Linked DNA regions of Rattus norvegicus. The protein of the gene in region 2 purifies or fractionates together with the protein of the main gene of each other region. This does not show direct contact. Links are inferred from orthologs where the notes say so. Each region holds a gene or a part of one and is shown on either strand. Other genes may lie near its edges. The genes, in order: Son, Srpk3, Ebna1bp2, Ccdc86 and Ftsj3.

Region 1 (3,510 bases), on a different chromosome or scaffold from region 2:
CTTAATCAGGCGGCATTTTAATGGGGTTGTTTTGACATTTGGCATTGTTACTGTGTCATTTTGACAAGATACAACTATTGCCTTGAGAAATTTCAATATATAAAATTCCACTCCTCCAACTTTTAATAGTAGCAAAGAGGGGAAGGAGAAGGGAATGGAGAACCAAGGCTGAACACTAGGTTAAACACAAGAATTCAAAAGGGCTAAGGTAGCACAAGGAAGGGAAATGACTGAAACCAAAGGCTATCTGAAAACCCAGAGAAATAGTAAGATACCATCACGTCAGGGAATGGGCTATGAACCCAAGATGTTCACATCAGCCTAAAATAACTTTCTCAACGCAGTTCTTGTGTTGAACCTCAGGATCTGCCTTCTCTCCCCTCAATCCCTCCACCCAATAAACTTGCTACCACCAAAATCTAGAGCTATAGAGCCTTGAAGCAAATCGGGAAGCTAAATAGTTGTACCTTGGGCTACCTTCCCACAAGTGCATGGAGGGCCCAATGTTGGGTAGGGATGTGATAACACTTTTCTCTGCAATTCGATGCTTTTCACTTTGTGGCTTCGTTCCACAAAGTGAATTGCATCGAGTTACTGTCAAATGAGAAGCTGCGGGCTGTTTCATCTGTCGTTTAACCCGGCCCTGCCGTTTAACCCGGCCCTAAGAAGAGTGAAACAGAATCCAAATCAGATATAAAATAACAATAAAATGGAAGATTCAGATATTAAAGCAAACATGTGGTGTTCCTCCTACTTACCTCTGAGGGCAAGCTGCTGCTGAACACATTATCGTCATCTTTGCTTTCTTCGCCATTTTTCTCTACTGGAACCCACTCTCCATAAACACTATCCGCTTCCTTTTTCCGATGTTGAGATCCAGATGACACAGGAAACTCCTTTGTTAATGTTACTTGGCTTTTTGGTGGAGTTGGCTTTGCTGCAGCAATCTGAAATACAGTATTTAGTTAGAATCCATTGTAACAGACACCTTCTACAGTTTCTAAAGAATCTCAATGCAGTCTAAAGGAAAGGTTCCTTTTATTTTGTCAGTGCCAGGAGTTGAACCTACAGCCTCACACATCCTGGGCACACTCACTACCACAGAACTCTCCCAGCCCTACACTCAGGAAATGCTGTCACTATTCATCACAATAGCTAAACTCCACATGGGTGTTACAACAGCCCGATGAGCCGTGATGCTTCATCAGTCCTTATCTCTTTACTAATACTCACATTCAAATTGAAAAAAATGGGCTTGGGTTCACTGAGTTTAAAGGGATGATGATAAAAAGGAGGCTCTTCTTCCTCTTCATCCGAAACATGAGGTTTATTCACTATTACATCATCATCTTCTTTACTCTGTGCAATCTGTTTGCATTTCTTTAAAGTAAAAACAAACAAAAGATGAATATGGCTTACAAAAACAGCATGTAACTTTTTCAAAAGAATATTGTATGATCAATTCAAAGAACACTTATGATAGCTTATAAAACCATAATTTTGATCATCAGCTACTATTTAAACACACACTGGCTGCTCAGTCAGTCAACAACATTTATTGAGCACCTACTATGTGCAGAGCACTGTACTGGGCACTGTCTTGGGAAAAAAATACAAAAAAAAAAAAAAAAATGAGAGAGAGAGAGAGAAAGAAAGAAGATAAAAAAAGGGAAAGACATGGTCCCTGCTCCAAAGGAGCTTACAATCTAATACGAGACAAAAGTACATCCACATGAAGTAATTGAAGAACCTTTTTACAGAGCAACACAGTAACAAGTGCAAACTGATGTAATACACACGGTACATAGTGCTAGAGAACAAAGGCGTAAAGAGGATATTCAGGCAGGGTTTAAGGATCAAAGAATATTCCTTCAAGAGTTCTAAGCAAAATTCCCACAGTAAAGAACAAGAAATAGGAAGGAAAGGGAAGTCATCTTGGTCAGGTGGTGGTGAGCAAGTTGGGAGAGACTTGTCAGAGGGATAGAACGCTGAAGATGAGGCAAACAATAGCAAACGCTAAGCGTTCATAAAGTTTTAGATAAAGAGCTTGCATTTGGTAAGTAAGCAATAGAGGCTTTTTGCTAGGTCTTTTTTAAGTTATAATTCATACTATAATGAATCTAAGTGAAGAAACAAATTTAACTTTATAATCCCCAAATGTATGGTAAAAGATTTTAAACATCTGTGGCAGGGTAAATAGTAACATCTCTCTCCATAAATGTTTTTTAAAATTTATTTAAGGACTGTAACTTAAGAATGGAAAATAAGGCATGATGGAGAGGGCGCAATTGATGCAGTCCAGCATACAAAGTCAAGTCCTTCCTCAGGAGCAAAGGAGCAGATTCCACTTATAAAAAGGTTAAGAGTAAATTTTAGTAGACCTGTCTATACAAGCAGAATTTATCACATCTATTATCAATTGAAAATATTACAATAGAATTAAAAAGCTCAATTAGCCAAAAACACAAGAGTGTATGTATCAAGCATGTAACCAATGGGAACAGAATATGTTGACAGTGGCAGGCTGGCATAAGGCTAGCCAATAGCAAGTTTCAGTATATGAAACAGTGTGTTATTTCTGGATCCTAGCAGCAATATTTCAGCGTCTTCCCCCACACACACAAAAAAATATTAAAGTAAAACAAAGCTTCCCCCAAAAGCCTCAATTTCAAAAGATCAAATTTTTAAAAACAAAAATAAGTATATTTAAAATATGTTACTGCCAAAACCCGAACCGCAGGAAGAACTGATAATGGCCGGCCATTATCGCCAATGGCTGGTACCAAACAGCCAAAACCCGAAATGTTGATGCGAAAGAAGTTCCTTTCAGGCAATGGCCAGCTATTCTCATTAATTTCCAAGCTCCGGTGGCAAAAGATCATTTCTGAAGATTGTCTGTGTCTTTGCGTATATGCAGTACACTCTTGGCGATCAGTGAACACGTCGTGAATGGAAACGAAACTGTAGGCGAGCTTCTGCGTGTTGCTCACTCAACACCTCCTCCATTCAAACGAACCGTTCCACTCCTCAGTCAGTTTGGCTTCTAAAACTGGAAAGCAAAAGTAATGGGAAGTAACTTTTTAGCTAGCGGAGCTTAGCCATCCCGGATAATGGCCTGCTAAACAGAGCTTCTGCCGCTGCCACATCTGTATTTCGGGTTTTGGGCACTCGGTGCCAGCCATTATCAGTTCAGCCCACAATTCAGGTTTTGGCACGCTCCAGAGTCAACATCCATGGAAAAATCCATTTAAGAATGGAAACAAATTCTGTCTAGCTTACCTCAGTTAGTTCTTCTATGGTAGCTCCTCCAGACTTTTTAGCAACTTTCTCTTCTATTGTAGGTGGAGGTGCAGGCTTTAGGTTTGGTGGCAAAGGAACACCAGCCTTAGCACACATGGCAGCTGCATTAGCTTTGGCTATTTCAAGTAATTGAGCCTTATCTGTAAGAGGAAAAATACAGGAAGCAGTTTTCCTAAAAGCTATATGCGTTTTTAGTTCTGTCAAAAATGT
Region 2 (4,246 bases):
GAGGTGGAGCCACTGCCCTGCTCTAGTCTTGAGCTGGAGTCTGAGGAGAAGGGGCAGAGGGGAACATGAGTAGAAGCCTGCAGCCCACATGCATGCTTAGTGGCCCAGTGCCCTCTCTGGCCCCTCACCCTCAGTTTGTACTGCAGCCTCCATAGCCTCCAGCCTCTGCAAGTCCCTCAGCCGCTCCTCCAGCAGCCTTTTCTGTTGCTTCCTTTTGCGCCTCATCTTCTTCCTCTTGTTTTTGGACAGCTTACCAGTCTGCTGCCAGAGTCAGGGTTACCTGCCAGGTTTCCCTGCCCAGCCCTGAACCCCAGAACTAACTCCCCTGGGTATCAGAACATGGGTACTATCTTGTCTCACCCTTAATCCCAGCCCCTCATCCATTTCTCTGCTTCTTCTCCTATCCTACTTCTTAAAGCTTTGTGGTTTGGGGAGAACCTAGTGGGCCTACCCTAAACTGCTCCTTGTCTACTCCCAGCCCTGGATGAAGCTGCCTGAAGTAGCCATTTGGGGAAGGCACAATATCCTTCCATTGAGGTGGTAGTGGGCCCATTGGCCACCAGAGGCAGTTTGGAGCACATGATACACTGTCTAATCACTCTCTTCTCAGGTACCCAGCTTTTTAGAAGTTCAAAAGATGGAACAACTGTGGCAGAAGAACCAAGCTCTGAGGACATGGCCTCATCTAGCTTGGATTGGAAGCGGAGACAGGGAAAGAAGGGGTGCCACAACTTACCAAGACCTCCTGGGGGGCAGTGCTGACTGGGTGTGAGGGGTGGGGAGAGAAAAAAGAATAGTAATTCAGGTAGGGATTGAGGTCCAGAGTCCTGGTGTCAGTCCCCACACATGCTCTTGGTACCTGTGGAGCGGGATGGGGGCTGGGCCCCTGACTGCTGCCACTCTGTGGCTTCAGCAGCCAGGCGCCTGATGTAGGCATCTCCAACACACAGTAGAATGTTCTCAGGCTTGATGTCCGTATGGATGATCTTGCACTTAGTATGGAGGTAATCCAGACCATGCAGCACCTGGCAAAAGCTACAGCTGAACCCTAACAACCATACCCAGCCAACCTGAGCAGCATGGGGGCAGCACCTACCTGCCTAACGATGCTCTTAACACAGGGCACAGGCAGGCCCTGGTAATTGGACTTGATGATCCACTTCAGGAGCTGGTGGCCCAGGACCTCTAGCACCATGCATACATCTGGACCTGGAGTGAAGGGCAGTCAGCAACACGTAGCTAAGGCACAGGCTTACCTACCCTCCATCATGGAGGAGGACCTAGACTCTAGAAATGCAAAGATCAGGGAAGTAGGGCTTTCTCTGGACCATCTTAGTGGCCACTACTGTCCCAGTTTATTATTTAGAATGTTTCTGTCACTGACAAAGATGTGCCAGTTAGGATGGTACCTCTTGTCATCCTACAGATGTCTCACTCCAGCCTTACTCTTCTGCCCAAGTAGTCCTCAAAAGTAGCCTCGTAATTTGGGAGTACTCTGCAGATAATCACAGATTATCTGCTAGTCACAGATAATCACTGTCAACCTAATTACCTGTGTTTCCCCTACTCAGAAACACAAGCGCCCAAAGGGATGGAGTTGTTTAATAGGTTCTCCCTGCAAGGGCTAAATCCCATGGTGCATTGTGGCTCCTTGACTGCCATATTGCTCATTTTGCAAAGGATACGGACTCCATTAACTCCTGAGATCCTGAAGTCATCGATAAGTTGAACAATGGTCTCTCTTTTGGGGTCACTAGGGTCACTGTCCCGAACCTGGAACAAAAGGCAAGGAGCCACAGATGACTCCCAACCTGCTCCCCAACAGCTGCTCTGCTCATATGCCCTGAAGCACTTTTGGCCCCCTTTCCCAGTCCAGCTGGGGCCCACTTAAAGAGAGCCAGCTGCCTCTTTCAGGCCTCTGCTCTCCGGGTCCTTTTGCTTGGCAGAGCCAGCTGGAGCCTGCCCCCTCTGGGAGCCCCGCCCCACTCTTCAGGGCCCCAGCAGGCCCTGCACCCACATTGCCAGGCCCAAGGCAGTTCAAGGGGCCGGGAGCAGTAGGGGAGGCGCCTCACACATTTCAGGAGCTTGATCTCATCCACGGCTGTCTCTGTGTAATGTCCTGCGCTCTTCACTACTTTCAGAGCCACAAAGCGCTTGCGCCTGTAATATGGAGACCCTCATAGGCTGCCAGACCTTGTCACAGTCACATGGTCAGAGTGGTAGCCTCAACCAAACCCACGGGCAGATCGCAGTCACTCACTGAATATCCCAGCAGAGCCAGACAGTAGAGAAATGGCCCCAGCCTAGCTTTCGTACCACATGGTACCGCCCATTGAACAAATCACCGATCTTCACTGGGTAGTAACCACCTGTAGAAGGGAGCCAATAGATCAGAGTAGGACATTTCTCTCCCTTATACCTCAATATCAATGTCCTGCTGGTCATCCGTCTCATGTAGGCCTACTTTTGGCAACTTTTTACACCCAAGCTGTCCTGAGCCCGTGCAGTGGCAATCTCGCTGGCCACATGCAGCCAGGACTTACCCTTGCAATAATCCTTAGGGTCTTCCTGCTCCTCATCATCAGAGCCCAGGAGTCCCTGCAGCAAACGAGGTGCTGGTGTGGCTGGAGCTAATTCAGAGCTTGAGGACTCAGGCCCACAGGAAGTCTGAGAGCTGTGGGTGAAGAGGGAGGATGCAGACAGTGAGCTCACAAGGTGCAGGTGACCCCACTCTCCCCAGCTTGGTCATACCTGCTGCTGCTGCCACCACAGTCCATACCACCACTACCACCGGCACTGGCACTCATCCTCGTGTCGCAGCCCAAAGCTCTGGTGCACTGGACCACTGTTCCTGTGGGGCCCAGCCGTGGCCAGTGCATTTATAGCTTCTGCCGCTGATCTCACCCGCCTTTATAAATAGCCTCCCAGCTGCTCAGCTGTGGGCAAGGTATGCAGCACAGGGAGGGGGGAGTGCACTGATGGTAGCCCTGCCCCCCCTTTCACCCACACTCTAGAGACAGAGGGAGCCACCAAGCTGCAGTTATGATAGCAACTCAGTTCCTAGGCTGATTCCCTACAGTGTAGGACTAGCCAAGGAAGACATCTACATGGAGATGGAGCTCCTATGCTCTAACGCTCTAACAGGGAGAGGAGGCTCCTATGAAAGAATGGAGTTGTTATGGTGACCAGGTCTTTAGGCTGAGCTCTCTCCAAATGCTGCAGGGTACTTGATACATTCTTTAACTGCCCACTTAACCTGTGTGAGTATACTTTTGGAGGTGACCCCCGCCAATCCCATCTGAACCCTATGCTCTGCTCATCCTCAACCCTGATCCCAGCTCTATTTTAACTCATAGATACTCCCCCATACAGGTGGGAGCCCAGATCTTTCCTCTATGTGGCTGGGTCAAGGGCAAGAGCTAAAGGCAACTCATTCCTCCCATCAGAAGCAACAGGCCCTCAGACTTGCATAGCATCCCTTAGGGCTAGAGCTGGTCATTTCTGCCTTGCTGTCTCCATCAGCATTTGCAGGTTCCCATTTGGGCCAACTCTTCCATGTCCACCAGGAGAAGAAAAAAAACCTCACAGTTGTTGTCCATGAGCTAGTTGGTAACTGAGGAATCTTGTGCATCTTGAGGAACGAGAAAGCATTATGTCCCCAGAAGCATTCAGGGCACAGTGCGCCAGCATGCTACAGAGTGCTGGGAAAATAACTGATACATTCTTGAACTTCTGGGCTTTCTAAAGTTGGTAGAGTGATGGTATTTCATAAACCAGTTTTGGTGGTGGAATGTGCCTGTAATCTCAGTACTCAAGAAGTACCCAGAAGTTCCAGGTTATGCTCAGCTACATAGCAAGTTCAAGGCCAGCCTGGAATGCATGAAACCCCATCTTTAAAAATAAAAATGTCCTGGAGAGATGGTGCAGTAATTAAGAGCACTGACTGCTCTTCCAGAGGTCCTGAGTTCAAATCCCAGCGACCACATGGTGACTCACAACCATCTGTAATGGGATCCAATGCCCTCTTCTGGTGTGTCTGAAAACAGCTACAGTGTACCCATATAAATAAATCTAAAAAAAATAAAAAATAAAAAGAATACTGGCTGCTATTGTCCAAGTTAAATTCCCAACACCCATGTGACAACTTACATGTCTTCTACAACTCCAGTTACCAGAAGACTGACACCCTCTTCTGGTCTTCCTGGCCATCACACACAAGGAATATATAGACATACATGCAGGCAAA
Region 3 (3,997 bases), on a different chromosome or scaffold from region 2:
TCAAGACATGCCTGCTATTCCCTAACTGCATCTGAAGGAGCACATCTTGTTCCCCACAACATTTCCCAAACATAAGCCTAGCAGATGAAAGCCAAGATAACTCCAAAGAACTAGAGAATCCCTTCGCTTCTAAGGCACTGATACGCAGGTTTCCCTACATTCTTAGCAGACAGACACGCTGACCTTTCTGGTACTTCTTGATGGCATTCATCATATGCGCTTTCTCCTGCTGCCTCTTCTGAAGGACCTCAGTTTGCACCTGTGAGACAGATACATGGTTAGTCCTGCATCCCAAACCGTGACTCCAGACACTGCCAGCTCAGCCGCCGCTACCACACTATGTTGGATACACCCAGGTGTGCCACAGTGCCAAGTGAACCTGTGTTTGGGGACACCAGCAGACACTTTATCAGGATCAAACATGCACAGGGCCAGAACCAAACCCCACCACGATCAGCCCTGGCGTGCCCGGCGGTGCCATTCCACACAGGTGCCCTTTCTCACCTTCTTTCCGTATTTCCTAAGCGCTCGAAGTTGCTTGGCCTTTTCAGATTTCTCCATGGCAGCCTGTTTAGTCTGCAGCTTCTGTCGAATCTAAAGCACGGGATGTTGTTAGGCACTATCTGGAGCACACTAGAAGGGGGCTCCAAGTTTTACTAGCTCTGAAAGCTTCCACATTAAGGACAATACAGTCCTAAAGCTGAGTGTCAGTGGGCAGCCACTGCTGAGAAGCGGCCCTGCCTCTCCAGACAGGCATGTTCCGTCACAAAGCTGCCTGCTTGTCACACAGGACCTGTTTCCCCAAAGACTAAGGCTAAACTTGAGCCTTCTCCTCTAATGGCCCACCTATGTAATAAAGTTCCTGCACACTCACACCTTGCCTCTTCAATCACACACACACTGTACTGACAGTGTTTGTTATCAGTGTGACTGTGAGAGAGAGACGATCTGTGCTCGTCTCACACGGGCAGCTTCTTGGGGTACGACCTGTAATTCTCTAAGATGAAGACTGAGACCAATGGTACAATTTAAATACATCCTGGGTGGGACATTGAGTTTTTTTCTCCCAAAGTTGAATGAAGATCAAATCCCCCTAACTCTAAATCATACCATATCTTAGCTAGATATCAAGCCTTCAGTTCTAGAAAGCTAAAGGCCCAGAGAAGAAAAATCGGTCTAGAAGCAATAGTATTCTTGGCATTGCTGGACCCAGAACTATAAGACTACTGTGTCTGTACCATTCCACTCACCCTGCCAGAGAGGAAATACACAAGCCTTCTTATTGCAAGGACCACACTTCTTCCAGACCGTCTCTCCCTAATTTATCTAAGTGACTGCCATGCCTCTGAAGCAGAGACTATAGAAATACTAGTTACAAATAGTATAAATCTTTGTTTCCTTTTTGAAAGACTACAGGAAATGAGCCAGCTGGAACGAATAGACTTCAGGAGAAACCTCCGCTTTCCAGAGGAAAAACTTACCTTTTGCATCTGTTGATCAGACTTGGCCATTTCTGCAAAATAATCAGTGGGCCTCTTCGTAGGGACTTGGAGCTGGTGGAGTCGGGGTAATACTGCAAGCACAGCAGCCTGGGCCTGGCGGTAGCTGAAATTACAGGACAGAGTGAAATGAGGGGAGGGGAGGGAAGAGGCATTCGCTTCTTCTTACTGCCTCTCAGAAGTTAACTAACCTCAGAGCTGTCGCATCCCACCTTCACTGGCAAGATAAAACAAACGAGTCAACTAAAACTCCACTAATTTCGTATATAACTGAAATTTCACTTTATGTTTATTTAGAAAGGGAAAATACTTCCAAGAATAAGAAGGTTTAAAACGAGCTTATTAAAAAATATTGAGCAAACTATGAACTGTTTCCCAATCGTTACAGAAAGACCACTCAAGCACTCCCTAGGCAAAGGTCTATTCTGACGATTGGAGGCACCCAGACTTCAAATGAATTATTTTTGAAACATCCCTCAAGCAGGGTGCTGGTTAAATGGTGACCAAGAATCTATTCTTTCAACCAGAGGAACCCCCCTAGCTCCACTCTCTTGGCTCATGCTAACTCCCCAGTGCCCCTGAGGTTGCAGACACACTAAGATCCTCCTTCTGTAACTCTGTAGAAGGACCCACAACAAACGTACAAACTCATTTCCCTCTGGAAGTCGTCTTCTGGATTAACACCTTTCTTCTGGTCCTTGTTCTGGGGTGTTGACTGAGTTTCACTGGCTTCAGGCACAGGACCCAGGGTCACATCGAGCCTTTCAACCCACTCCAGATCCCGTTTGAATTCAGCCAAGCACTGCTTCAGGCCATTCTAGATAAAGTCAGACACGGCACTCATGAGAACCGCGACTCTGTCTCCCTCAAACCCAAAGTCCTATGCTCAAATACCCGCAAGGATGACGCCCGCTGCGCAGGGGTACATCTGTCCCACAAGAATCGGTCTCCCAAGAAGCACAGCGCCTGTGCACATCCCGTTCCAAGGACCCCGACCCTCGCACGAGCTCACCTCGTCATTCACCGCCTTCTTCGGCTTCTCTAGCACGACATTGAGGCCTGGCTTTAGGAGTCCGCGGGAAAACGCATCCTGCAACTATAGACCGGGACGCCTCAGTACCGAAGAGCTAAATAAAGTTCCCGTTCCACCCCCTACCCCGCTAGCGTCTACCTCTTGATCTGAGGCCAGGCACTCATCCGACCCGGAGTCCGAGTCTGAGAGCGGAGGGGTGTCCATCTCGCGGCTTCCCGCCCCGCGAGGTTCGGCTGCCACTCCACGTGCCAGCAAGACGCACCAGCGCCAGCAACTTCTCCACTAGCCTCTGGCTTTTCAACAAGTACTTCCGCTTCCGGGTGCAGAGCCAAACTTCCGGTTTTCTCGTTGCTATAGGAACTGCTCTGGCGTTTGGGCGTGCCCGGATTGCTCCGGCTCTTTAGGAAGAACACCTGCGGGTCGCTACGTTGTATAGTAATCCAGAGTCGTGAAGCAAGAGGTGAATAGTTTCTCTGGGGTCCACCTAAAGGCCTGGAGGCGTTGGGAGTGCATGGGAGGAAGGCAAAGCTTGGAAAGAGCCCCGGGAGTGGGCTGAAGAGGAAGAGGAGCCTGGGGGCGGGGCGATGGAGGGGCGAGGCGGGGTCAGGGTGGGGCGGGCCCAGGGTGGGGCGGGGCCATGGGTGGGGCAGGGAGATACACTCTTATGTCTTTACTCCCACCCGCCTGCCTCTTTTTTTATATATTTGGTTGTGAGCCTAGCCTTTAACGGCTGGGCCATCTCTCCAGCCCCTCTTTTTTTAATCTTTTACAATACTCTTTGACAGGTACCATGTCCACCGTGGTAGCTCAGTCGCTTCATGTTTTTGGTCTTCGGTCTCACGTGACCAACAACATCTTCTTCTTCGATGAACAGATCGTTATATTTCCTTCAGGAAATCACTGTGTGAAGTACAATCTAGATCAGAAATGGCAAAAATTCATTGCAGGTAAAAAAAAAGAAAAGAAAAGAAAAGAAAAAAAACCCACCCTTCCCATCCTGACACATACATTTAAAGGCATGTGCTGCACAGAACCGCACAATCTCAACGATTGGGAAGATCTTTTTTTTTTTTTTTAATAACTGGGTTATCCACATAGTTTTATAAATGCAGACAAAATAAATGTCGATTTACACTGTTTAATCTTAGATTAACCCAACTCAAGTAGCCAGAATGACACATAAAATAACACTCATTTTAAAAGTACTTTTTCGGGTTGGGGATTTAGGTCAGTGGTAGAGCACTTGCCTAGCAAGCCTAAGGCCCTGGGTTCGGTCCTCAGCTCCGAAAAAAAGAAGAAAAAAAAAAGTACTTTTTCACAGTGACAAAGAAGAGTTATTTTAAACAGTGGTTTTTCTTGCATTCTCCTGCAGTCGGGTTTGTCCTCACCAGAAACCTCTTTTGAGTCTAATAGTTTCGAGAGTTCATGACCTTCATCAAACCCTCGTATGATGGAGACACTGGAA
Region 4 (4,047 bases), on a different chromosome or scaffold from region 2:
GAACAGAAGATAAAGCTGGGCCAGGAAATGCTGAAAACTGTTGAAACTGGTGATAGGACTCATAAAACTCAGCTCTTTCCTTTTCTGTGATAAAAAGTAAAAATAAAATGAAGACAAGCCCTCACATCTCTCCCCCACTACCTGCTCAGTCTGCTGGGTGTCCCATGGGCCTGTTCTCCCCCCAACCCTCTCTTATCCCCAGAACTCTAAGGCTCCTCAGCAGATCCTTTCACAGTGGCCCTTCTGCCTCCCACACTCCAACCTTGACTCGTGTAGGAGTTCCTATTTACTTGCCTGTTAGAGGATATCTTGAGGAACCCTGTCTCTGAAGGCCTTGGTGCATGTCTGTGGCTGACCAGACAAAGGTCAATGCTGCATTTCTGAGTGTCTGCTCCCTTCCTAGAGTCTGGCACACAGTGTGGAACTTGGCACCAGGTTTACTCACAGGCAGTCTGGTTCTGTCCCCTCCCACTGCATCGCTAGCTTCTGACACCAGCATTCTCCTCTCTGCTAAGTCCCCAAGCTTTCTCAAGACCCAGCTTCCAAAAAGCAGAGCAGTGGGTACCTTGTGGACTTCCTTTCACTCTTAACAAACCGGAATTTGAGAATCCTGGAAGGACAGGATGATGGAAGCCTGGAGAAACCAGAGCCACTAGACATAATACTATATCTTGTTAGAGCATCAGTGACAACAATGTTCCGTCATGGAAATGATCCCCGCCCCTTCCTGAAAGGGAATCACTACGTATAGGCTGCTGTAGCGCTTGATTTGTAGTTTGTGTTAAGAAGACTCATAGATTATTTCATTTAATAGTGAATGTAAATGTAGCAAGTGGCTACAGCACTGAGGCAGAGTCGATGTTCAGCACTAGTTATTGGAGATGGAAAACAGGCCTGGATGTCTGGTCCTGAGACCATTATTTACTTCCTATGAGACCCTGGGCAAGGAAGCCTCTCAGCCACGGCACCCCCCTGTGTGTACATAACAGTATAGAAGGGTAACAGGTTGCCTGTGGCCATCAGTGGCCTGGCTACTGTGACTTGCTGGGAGCAGCTTCAAAGTTTTTCTGATTGGTGCCTTTCTCTTTAAGCTTAACTTTCTTAAGTTTAATGGAGTATGCTTGGGGGAGGGGTTATACCCAGAGCTTAGGCTTTAAGAGTAACAAAATGACATCTGTAAAGTGCCTGCACAAAGCCTGGCACAGTCCATCATCCGTCAATGTCATCCTCTTAAAATCTCTGATGCCCTGTTCTCTTACGAATTCTTGTCTTTGGCCAGTAGCTGATACTTCAACCCTACTTCTTCTCCAGAGCTGAAATTTCAACTGAACCCACTTCTCTTTCCCTGCTGCCTAAACAATGCCCTTCATATAAGCCTCCTCATTCCTTTACTGAAAAATATAAACTCAGCATTACCATGCCCCAGCACTGAAAGGACAAGGAAGACCCCATGTCTTAAGAAGGCTGCAACCCAAGTGAAGCTGGTCAACAGAAGCAGGTTAATGGGTTCCGCTCACTCGCTTTGCGGTCAAATCTATGCTCCCATCCCGTGTCTCAATTAGCCTCCGTGAGCCTTGTTTTCTTCAGATGTACAATATTAATACTAGTAACACCTGCTCCAAAGGGGAAAGATTAAATGTGATTACATGTGTGGCTGGCTATGAAAGACTCACTCTCTGGCCATCCCTAAGGAAGTGACACAGAACCAGTGATGATATTTTACAGTAAAAAGGATCTCACTATAATGGCTGCCTTTCTTGCTCTGCTTCCCTCACTAGATGTGGCAGACAAGGTGGCACATGCCTTCAAACCCAGCACTAGGAAGGCAGAAGCAAGCATATCTCTGTGAATTTCAGGACAGCCATTGTCACACAGTGAGACCCTGCCTCGCAATAAAAAAAGGGAAGGAAAGGAAGTTCAAAAGAACACCTCAAGACCACTGAGGATCTCCCTTAGGCATTTTGACATGATCCTGTTTGTTAATTTTACTCGGGTGAGCTCTTTCAAGTCTGGGATTTCATTCAGGCGAAGGCAAGGTCCAAATGCACGGAGAACCCAACACATCGCCCATGCTGTCCTCACTTTACCTCTTCTTGGAGCGGTCTTTCCACACACGCCCGGATTTGGGCTTCCCCTTCGGAATTACAGGAAGCTCCTCCTTCAGTTTCTTGGACGCTGGGGCCTGGGGAGAAGCTATAACTCGCTTCTTTAGGTCGAGACTTCCGGTCACTGACTCTCCAGCCGGAGGTAGCTTGCTTGGCTCCAGCTGGCGCTCTGGGGAGCTAGGTGCCTGGAATGCCAGCTCCTGTGCTGGCTGGGAGGGCTCGGGACCCGGTGCTTGCTGACCCGGGCAAGGCTCGGGAGATCTTGGGATCACCTCCTCCTTAGCGTGGGCTACCTCAGAGTCCTGTGTGGGAGATAATTTGGATGACTGCTCTCGTTGCGGGGATTCCGGATTCGACTCTGTCTGTCCTGCAGGTGAATCCAGGCCCAGATCTTGATGAAGTTGAAGGGACCCAGGGTGAGGCTCTGGTTGCCTTTGTGGGGACCCAAAGCCTGCATCCTGTTTAGGACAGGGTGATTCGGGGCTAGTCTCCGGCTGAGGTTGGGGAGACACAAGGTCCAGTGGCGGAACTCTCGGAGACTCGAGCTCTCTTGTTTCTTCTGGGTTCGACTTGAAATCTACAAGAGCCCGTTTGGCCCGAGAGACTTCGGGGTCAGGAAGGTTCTCCAGAGACAGAGGGTTTAGGCCTTCCAGCCGCCGGCTGCGCCTCAGCGGCGTACCCATGGCTCACGTGTAGTCTCCGTAGCCTTCAGAATCGTCGGCGCCTTCATATGACGTCAGACTCGTCTATTTCCGTACCGGGCAGGAAGTGCGCACTGGCGGTAGAGTGATGCGTGGAAAAGCAGGGGATGTTTGTCCCGGGGGCTGGGCTTAGTAGACGCATGCGTGTTGTGTCTGGTTGCTGGGTTTCCGCGATGCGGTTTTTTTTTTTTTTTTTTTTTTTTTTTTTGGTCGTTTTTGTTTTTGTAAACCGCGAGTTCTAGGTGCAAGAGAAGCGGGGTTGGAGTGGGGTATACCTTTTCTTTTTTCCCTGAGAGAAGAGGTTGGCAAAAAGGCGGAGGGAGTTTGTAGGCAGAGCTGAGCGTGTTAATTTACTCTGGAACAGCTGGGCCCGCATACGTCACGTTTTCTTTTGTTTTATCTTTTGTAATAGTAGCTTTGCGCAGTGTAACAAAGGAGGAGGCCCTGGGGGTCTGCATGAGTGGGAAATCTTCAATTTTTGAGTTTTCTTAAACGTTCTCACCCTTACCATCTCTTTTACTACTGTGCCCAGATATGCTTCAACAGTTTCAATCAGCGAAGTGTCAGGTCTGAGGCCCAGAAAACCCTGACTGCTTTGTTGTCAATGTTGGGGGGTCACAGCGTGTGCCCGAAGTCAGGTCTGGCTACCCCATCGTCAACAAACCACCGGAAAGAGCCAAATTAAAATTGGAAAGCTTTAGAAAAAGAATTATTCAAATGGCCATACTGGGAAGAGAGGCAAAGAGATTCTGTGAATCACCCAAATTCGACCTCAGGGTTCTAAAGTTAGATAGAAAGTTTAGATAGAGGGCCAAGGATAAATACATTTAAGTAGTCCTTATCAAGGTATGACTCTGTCCACCATTGCCCCACCATTATCTGGGTTTTAGTCTCATCCTGTAGGTGGTCTGACAAGCTCTTTCCAGGGGACAAATTTCCCCTCTGGCTGGTACCCGTTTTTGTCTCCCCTCTGGCTGGTACCCTTTTTTCTTCTCCCAGCATGAGAATTCTGAGAAAATTCCCATTTCTTTGGAGTCCACTGTTTGTTTGATTGTCTGATAGGCAAAAGTGTCTCTTTAGAATACCTTCATTTCTGCCAGGATGGTTACATGCTGACCCAGGAGGAGGCAAGGAAGATGTAGAGCCAGAGAAAAGTTTCTGCAGGGTAGAAAGTGGATGCCCAATTCTTGGACACACCCCCTAGGCACTGCACACATGGTCTCAGATGCATACTGATGGAG
Region 5 (4,190 bases), on a different chromosome or scaffold from region 2:
TGCAGAGGGCCTGGGTTTAGTTGTCACTCTAAGTGCCTGGGAAAGATAACTATCTGTAACTCAAGTTTCAGGGGATCCACTGCCCTCTTCTGCCCTGCGCAGGCACCTGCATACATATGATGCATATAAGCTTACGAAAGCACACATATACACATATGCATAATAAATTAACAACTGAAGAGCTACAAGAACGACACTGGAAAAGAACACTTTGCTGCACTCCCAGTGGAAAAAGGACGTTGAGAAATCTGCACCTACCAGCTAGCTCTCAAGCTCCCTCTGGTGTCTGGACTTACCTGGAGTTCTTCAATCTTGGACAGATAATATTGACGGAGTCCACTGCCTGCCTTCCCCTCTTCCAGTTCCATCTGAAGACAAGTGTAATTGTTAAACAGTTACGTAAACTACTAAGGGATAAAGCCAAAGTATTTTCAGGGCACTTTACCATATAGCTTAAGAAACAAGGCCAGGAAAGTATCATTCCCTTTTCCTCAGAAACTGGTTATCTCCATAGGTGAGGTCTGTGTGTTTGAACTGCAAAGGCTTAGTTATTGGTTCTAATCCTTCACTTTTGAATCCACTAAAAGGATGCAATTACCGCCTACCTTCGAAGACTTTTAGGAGGCTCAAGGGGCCATATACTTACAGAGCGCTTTGCTCTGTGGCAAGAGCTATACAAACCCAAGGTGTAACTACTACAGACAAAGGCAGAACAGAAGGACCAAGTCCAGGTCCCACCCAGGCCATTCCGGCTTGCCTAGCTCTTCATTCAGTTTTTACCCAGCCCTGTCCTGCTTACCGCGGGTGGCGCTGACACAGCAGATCCAGTTCCAGGCAGGGTCAAGTCTGACGTGGTCCACCCACCCCTGATCCACTCGACCCTTTTGCTAGTGGCCACCCCTCAGTTCAGATTTTGTGCACTCCACACTCGGCTTGGATGCCGCCCTGACGCCGCGGCAGAATCCTTACCTGCTCTGGCCCATCAAGCGCCATCTTCCCTCCTTCGGCAGGGACCGCCGGCATCCAAGTCACCCTATTGCGCAGGCGCGGAGCCGAAAGCGTGCGACCTGGGTCACGACCGAGAACAGTTCCGGGTCAATGGGCGGGGTGTGTGGTGAGACAATAACAGTGGCTTTATTACAGGCTCTACTGGCGGTTAGTAGGTTTGTAAAGAGATATATAACTTATGGCGGATGCTTCCTAGAGTCTAGGGAGTAGTTATTGTACTCTACTTCCTAGCCTCTACTTTTAACTTGCAAGACACGCTGACAAAATTTTTGGCCACACTCAAAATGGCGTAAATCAAGACGCTAGGAACACAGGGAGCGCGAGCGGAAGCGGAAGTACGATCACTACCCACATGTGCTACTTCCCTAAGTGTTGAAAACCTGCGGAGTTAAGGGCTATCTAACGTCTCGGTAAGTGATTGCTTCGCCACCCGAGGAACCGAAGCAAAAATCCAGCGCTCTGAAAGATATTCTCAACTTTTTCTTTCTCCCCAGAGTGAGTGATACTACCCCATCCCGCCATGGGCAAGAAAGGCAAAGTAGGCAAGAGCCGGCGGGACAAGTTCTATCACTTGGCCAAGGAGACCGGTGAGTGGGTTTGCGCTGCGTGAATAACATATCAGCCTTTACGCTTTTTCTAATATTGTGTTCCTTTTCCTTAGGGGGAGGGTGATGGGGTTGTGAGGCTGTGGAAGTCCTCTTAGAAAAGGCATCCGTAGACGTTATTGTTTTATACATCCACTCCCTACGGTCTAGGTTATCGTTCGCGTTCTGCCTTCAAACTGATCCAGCTCAATCGCCGCTTTCAGTTCCTTCAGAAAGCCCGGGCCTTGCTGGACCTGTGTGCTGCACCTGGAGGATGGTAATATTTGGTTGGCAGGGACTGCTTGTGATGATACGTCCCTTGCACTGGCTGGCTTTGAGTTGCTTTGGGGGAGGATGGAAATCCGATTATACAATTCAGATTAAATATTCCATAGCATGTGTCTCTCCTAAATTTTGGAAGTCAGTGTCATTCTTTTTTCCCCTCTCGTGGGACTGAACCTAAGGACTTACTCATGCTAGGCAGTCGCTCCACCACCGAGTTATATCTCCAATCTGCTTTCTTTTCATTGAGACAGGGACTCTCAGAAATTGCCCAGGCTGGCCTTGAACGTTTGGCCTTGATAGCTGGTAATGCAGCCCTGTGTTGCTACGCCCAGCAGCTTGCTTCTTGAATGTGTGCATAGACAATTTGGCCAAGACACTTAACAAGTGCCCCTTAAGAGGCTGGGAAATCACATTGCCAAGGGATGAAAGGTATTTAAACCTGTCTTTTCCACAGGCTGCAGGTGGCTGCCAAGTTTATGCCTGTATCCAGTCTTATTGTAGGTGAGTGACTCTTGGGTATTTGAGGGGGAGGGGTGGGAGAGGTATTAAATTTGTCCTACATCTCCCTCCACCCTGTAATACACCGACTTAACATCTTAAAGGAGTGGACCTGGTTCCAATCAAGCCTCTCCCCAATGTGGTGACTCTCCAGGAAGATATTACAACAGAACGCTGTAGGCAGGTAATAAGATCTCTCCTTCATTCCCTCTTATGTGCTGGCGCCCTTGCCTCCTGAAAGTGAGACATTTCCCAATTTACCATGGTTTCAAGTGCATGGCTAAAGAGACCGTGACAATCCTGGTCACCTTTCCATCTTTACCTGTTTTTTATTTCCCCTTTTTCCCTTGAGATAGAGCCTTGCTGGGTACTTGGGATAGTTTCTAACTATGTAGTTAGTCCACACTTATGTGGAGCTGGGTCCATGGCCTAGTTTTGCCTTGATCTTCCAGTCTGTCTGCCTCTTGAATACTGGGTTCCACGTGCCACCAAGCCTGGCATGGATAGTGCTGTGAACGGGTGGAAGACTCTTTGTTCAGTAAAGTTCTTTCCAGTGAACCAATTCTAAGCTTGGCAAAGATAGGTTGTGTTGTTGTTGTTGTTGTATGCCTAGTACCTGGCACTGTGATGCCAATGGTGGGCACTCACTCTGACTAGACGGATGACTGAATCAGAATTCTGTTCTTAGCAATCATTGTGTTTCCATTGCTACAAAGCCTTTACTTTCATTAGGCCCTGAGGAAGGAGCTGAAGACCTGGAAAGTTGATGTTGTGCTCAATGATGGGGCTCCCAATGTGGGGGCTAGTTGGGTCCATGATGCTTACTCACAAGGTACAGGGAACGTGGGCTTGGAGGGGAGGGTGGAGGTGGCGTGCCCTAAGGCTTCAGGGGTTCACTGGCTGTTTCTGTCCTACAGCTCACTTAACTCTGATGGCTCTGCGTTTGGCCTGTGACTTTTTGGCCCGTGGTGGTTGTTTCATCACGAAAGTCTTCCGCTCCCGAGACTATCAGCCTCTGCTGTGGATCTTCCAGCAGCTGTTCCACCGTGTCCAGGCCACCAAGCCCCAGGCCTCTCGTCACGAATCTGCAGAAATCTTTGTAGTCTGCCAAGGTAAGACACAACCCCTTCCTCTTGACACAGCCTTCTAATTATGAAAGCATACCTTTAATCTAGCAGAACTTTTACTCTCTCTTCTCATTTTAGGATTCCTGGCTCCGGACAAGGTTGATGCTAAATTCTTCGATCCCAAGTTTGCCTTTAAGGAAGTTGAAGTTCAGGCTAAAACTGTCACTGAGTTGGTGACAAAGAAGAAGCCAAAGGTGTTTTTATTGTTATTATTTTGAGAAACTGGGAGAACTTGATATCTTAGAATCGACTGTCTAGTAATCATCTTTTATTTCCCTTCCTAAGGCTGAAGGCTATGCTGAAGGTGACCTCACTCTGTATCACCGAACCTCAGTCACTGACTTCTTGCGAGCTGCCAATCCTGTTGACTTCCTCTCCAAGGCCAGCGAAGTGAGTTCCTAGATTGAGAGTCTATAGGAGGCCCAGAAACAAGGCCAGAACAACGTCCCATTCTTTCCCTCACAAACAGATCTCAATAGACGACAAAGAGTTGGCACAGCACCCAGCTACCACTGAAGATATCAGAGCATGCTGTCAGGACATCAAAGTGCTGGGGCGCAAGGAACTTAGGTACACAGGAATAAGGGCAACACTATGTTGGACTCTGGGGACCAGGCTTGTGTTAAGTTTATGGCTGAAGCCTGAACTCTGGCGTGTGGACTTTAAGAAGAGACAAAGATGGAGAAAG

The links.
Region 1: the proteins of Srpk3 (region 2) and Son purify together in Homo sapiens (affinity purification with mass spectrometry; 3 studies listed by BioGRID and IntAct, with this or other methods). This does not show direct contact. The link is inferred for Rattus norvegicus from reciprocal best matches to the Homo sapiens genes SRPK3 and SON.
Region 3: the proteins of Srpk3 (region 2) and Ebna1bp2 purify together in Homo sapiens (affinity purification with mass spectrometry; 3 studies listed by BioGRID and IntAct, with this or other methods). This does not show direct contact. The link is inferred for Rattus norvegicus from reciprocal best matches to the Homo sapiens genes SRPK3 and EBNA1BP2.
Region 4: the proteins of Srpk3 (region 2) and Ccdc86 purify together in Homo sapiens (affinity purification with mass spectrometry; 3 studies listed by BioGRID and IntAct, with this or other methods). This does not show direct contact. The link is inferred for Rattus norvegicus from reciprocal best matches to the Homo sapiens genes SRPK3 and CCDC86.
Region 5: the proteins of Srpk3 (region 2) and Ftsj3 purify together in Homo sapiens (affinity purification with mass spectrometry; 3 studies listed by BioGRID and IntAct, with this or other methods). This does not show direct contact. The link is inferred for Rattus norvegicus from reciprocal best matches to the Homo sapiens genes SRPK3 and FTSJ3.

What each region holds. Positions count from the first base shown.
Region 1 is NC_086029.1:44,391,467-44,394,976, reverse strand, and holds part of Son (protein SON), read right to left. Parts: intron 3,441-3,510; coding exon 3,280-3,440; intron 3,050-3,279; coding exon of another isoform or gene 3,044-3,049; exon of another isoform or gene 1,535-3,043; intron 1,381-1,534; coding exon 1,234-1,380; intron 948-1,233; coding exon 759-947; intron 662-758; coding exon of another isoform or gene 407-661; exon of another isoform or gene 1-406. UniProt on the Homo sapiens protein: RNA-binding protein that acts as a mRNA splicing cofactor by promoting efficient splicing of transcripts that possess weak splice sites.
Region 2 is NC_086039.1:156,660,563-156,664,808, reverse strand, and holds the start of Srpk3 (SRSF protein kinase 3), read right to left. Parts: upstream 2,808-4,246; coding exon 2,752-2,807; intron 2,675-2,751; coding exon 2,544-2,674; intron 2,370-2,543; coding exon 2,261-2,369; intron 2,161-2,260; coding exon 2,073-2,160; intron 1,774-2,072; coding exon 1,686-1,773; intron 1,210-1,685; coding exon of another isoform or gene 1,204-1,209; coding exon 1,097-1,203; intron 1,026-1,096; coding exon 860-1,025; intron 763-859; coding exon 737-762; intron 262-736; coding exon of another isoform or gene 250-261; coding exon 129-249; intron 41-128; coding exon 1-40. UniProt on the Homo sapiens protein: Serine/arginine-rich protein-specific kinase which specifically phosphorylates its substrates at serine residues located in regions rich in arginine/serine dipeptides, known as RS domains.
Region 3 is NC_086023.1:137,432,347-137,436,343, reverse strand, and holds the start of Ebna1bp2 (probable rRNA-processing protein EBP2), read right to left. Parts: upstream 2,811-3,997; 5' UTR 2,737-2,810; coding exon 2,671-2,736; intron 2,596-2,670; coding exon 2,512-2,595; intron 2,317-2,511; coding exon 2,144-2,316; intron 1,606-2,143; coding exon 1,482-1,605; intron 595-1,481; coding exon 505-594; intron 260-504; coding exon 184-259; intron 1-183. Other genes in the region: Cfap57 (cilia- and flagella-associated protein 57), read left to right, coding at 3,323-3,479. UniProt on the Homo sapiens protein: Required for the processing of the 27S pre-rRNA.
Region 4 is NC_086019.1:217,018,632-217,022,678, forward strand, and holds the start of Ccdc86 (coiled-coil domain-containing protein 86), read right to left. Parts: upstream 2,809-4,047; 5' UTR 2,789-2,808; coding exon 2,088-2,788; intron 1-2,087.
Region 5 is NC_086028.1:91,684,371-91,688,560, reverse strand, and holds the start of Ftsj3 (pre-rRNA 2'-O-ribose RNA methyltransferase FTSJ3), read left to right. Parts: upstream 1-1,381; 5' UTR 1,382-1,418; intron 1,419-1,502; 5' UTR 1,503-1,528; coding exon 1,529-1,595; intron 1,596-1,763; coding exon 1,764-1,869; intron 1,870-2,331; coding exon 2,332-2,378; intron 2,379-2,479; coding exon 2,480-2,559; intron 2,560-3,107; coding exon 3,108-3,207; intron 3,208-3,292; coding exon 3,293-3,487; intron 3,488-3,580; coding exon 3,581-3,696; intron 3,697-3,787; coding exon 3,788-3,892; intron 3,893-3,971; coding exon 3,972-4,072; intron 4,073-4,190. Other genes in the region: Psmc5 (26S proteasome regulatory subunit 8), read right to left, coding at 297-368, 970-993.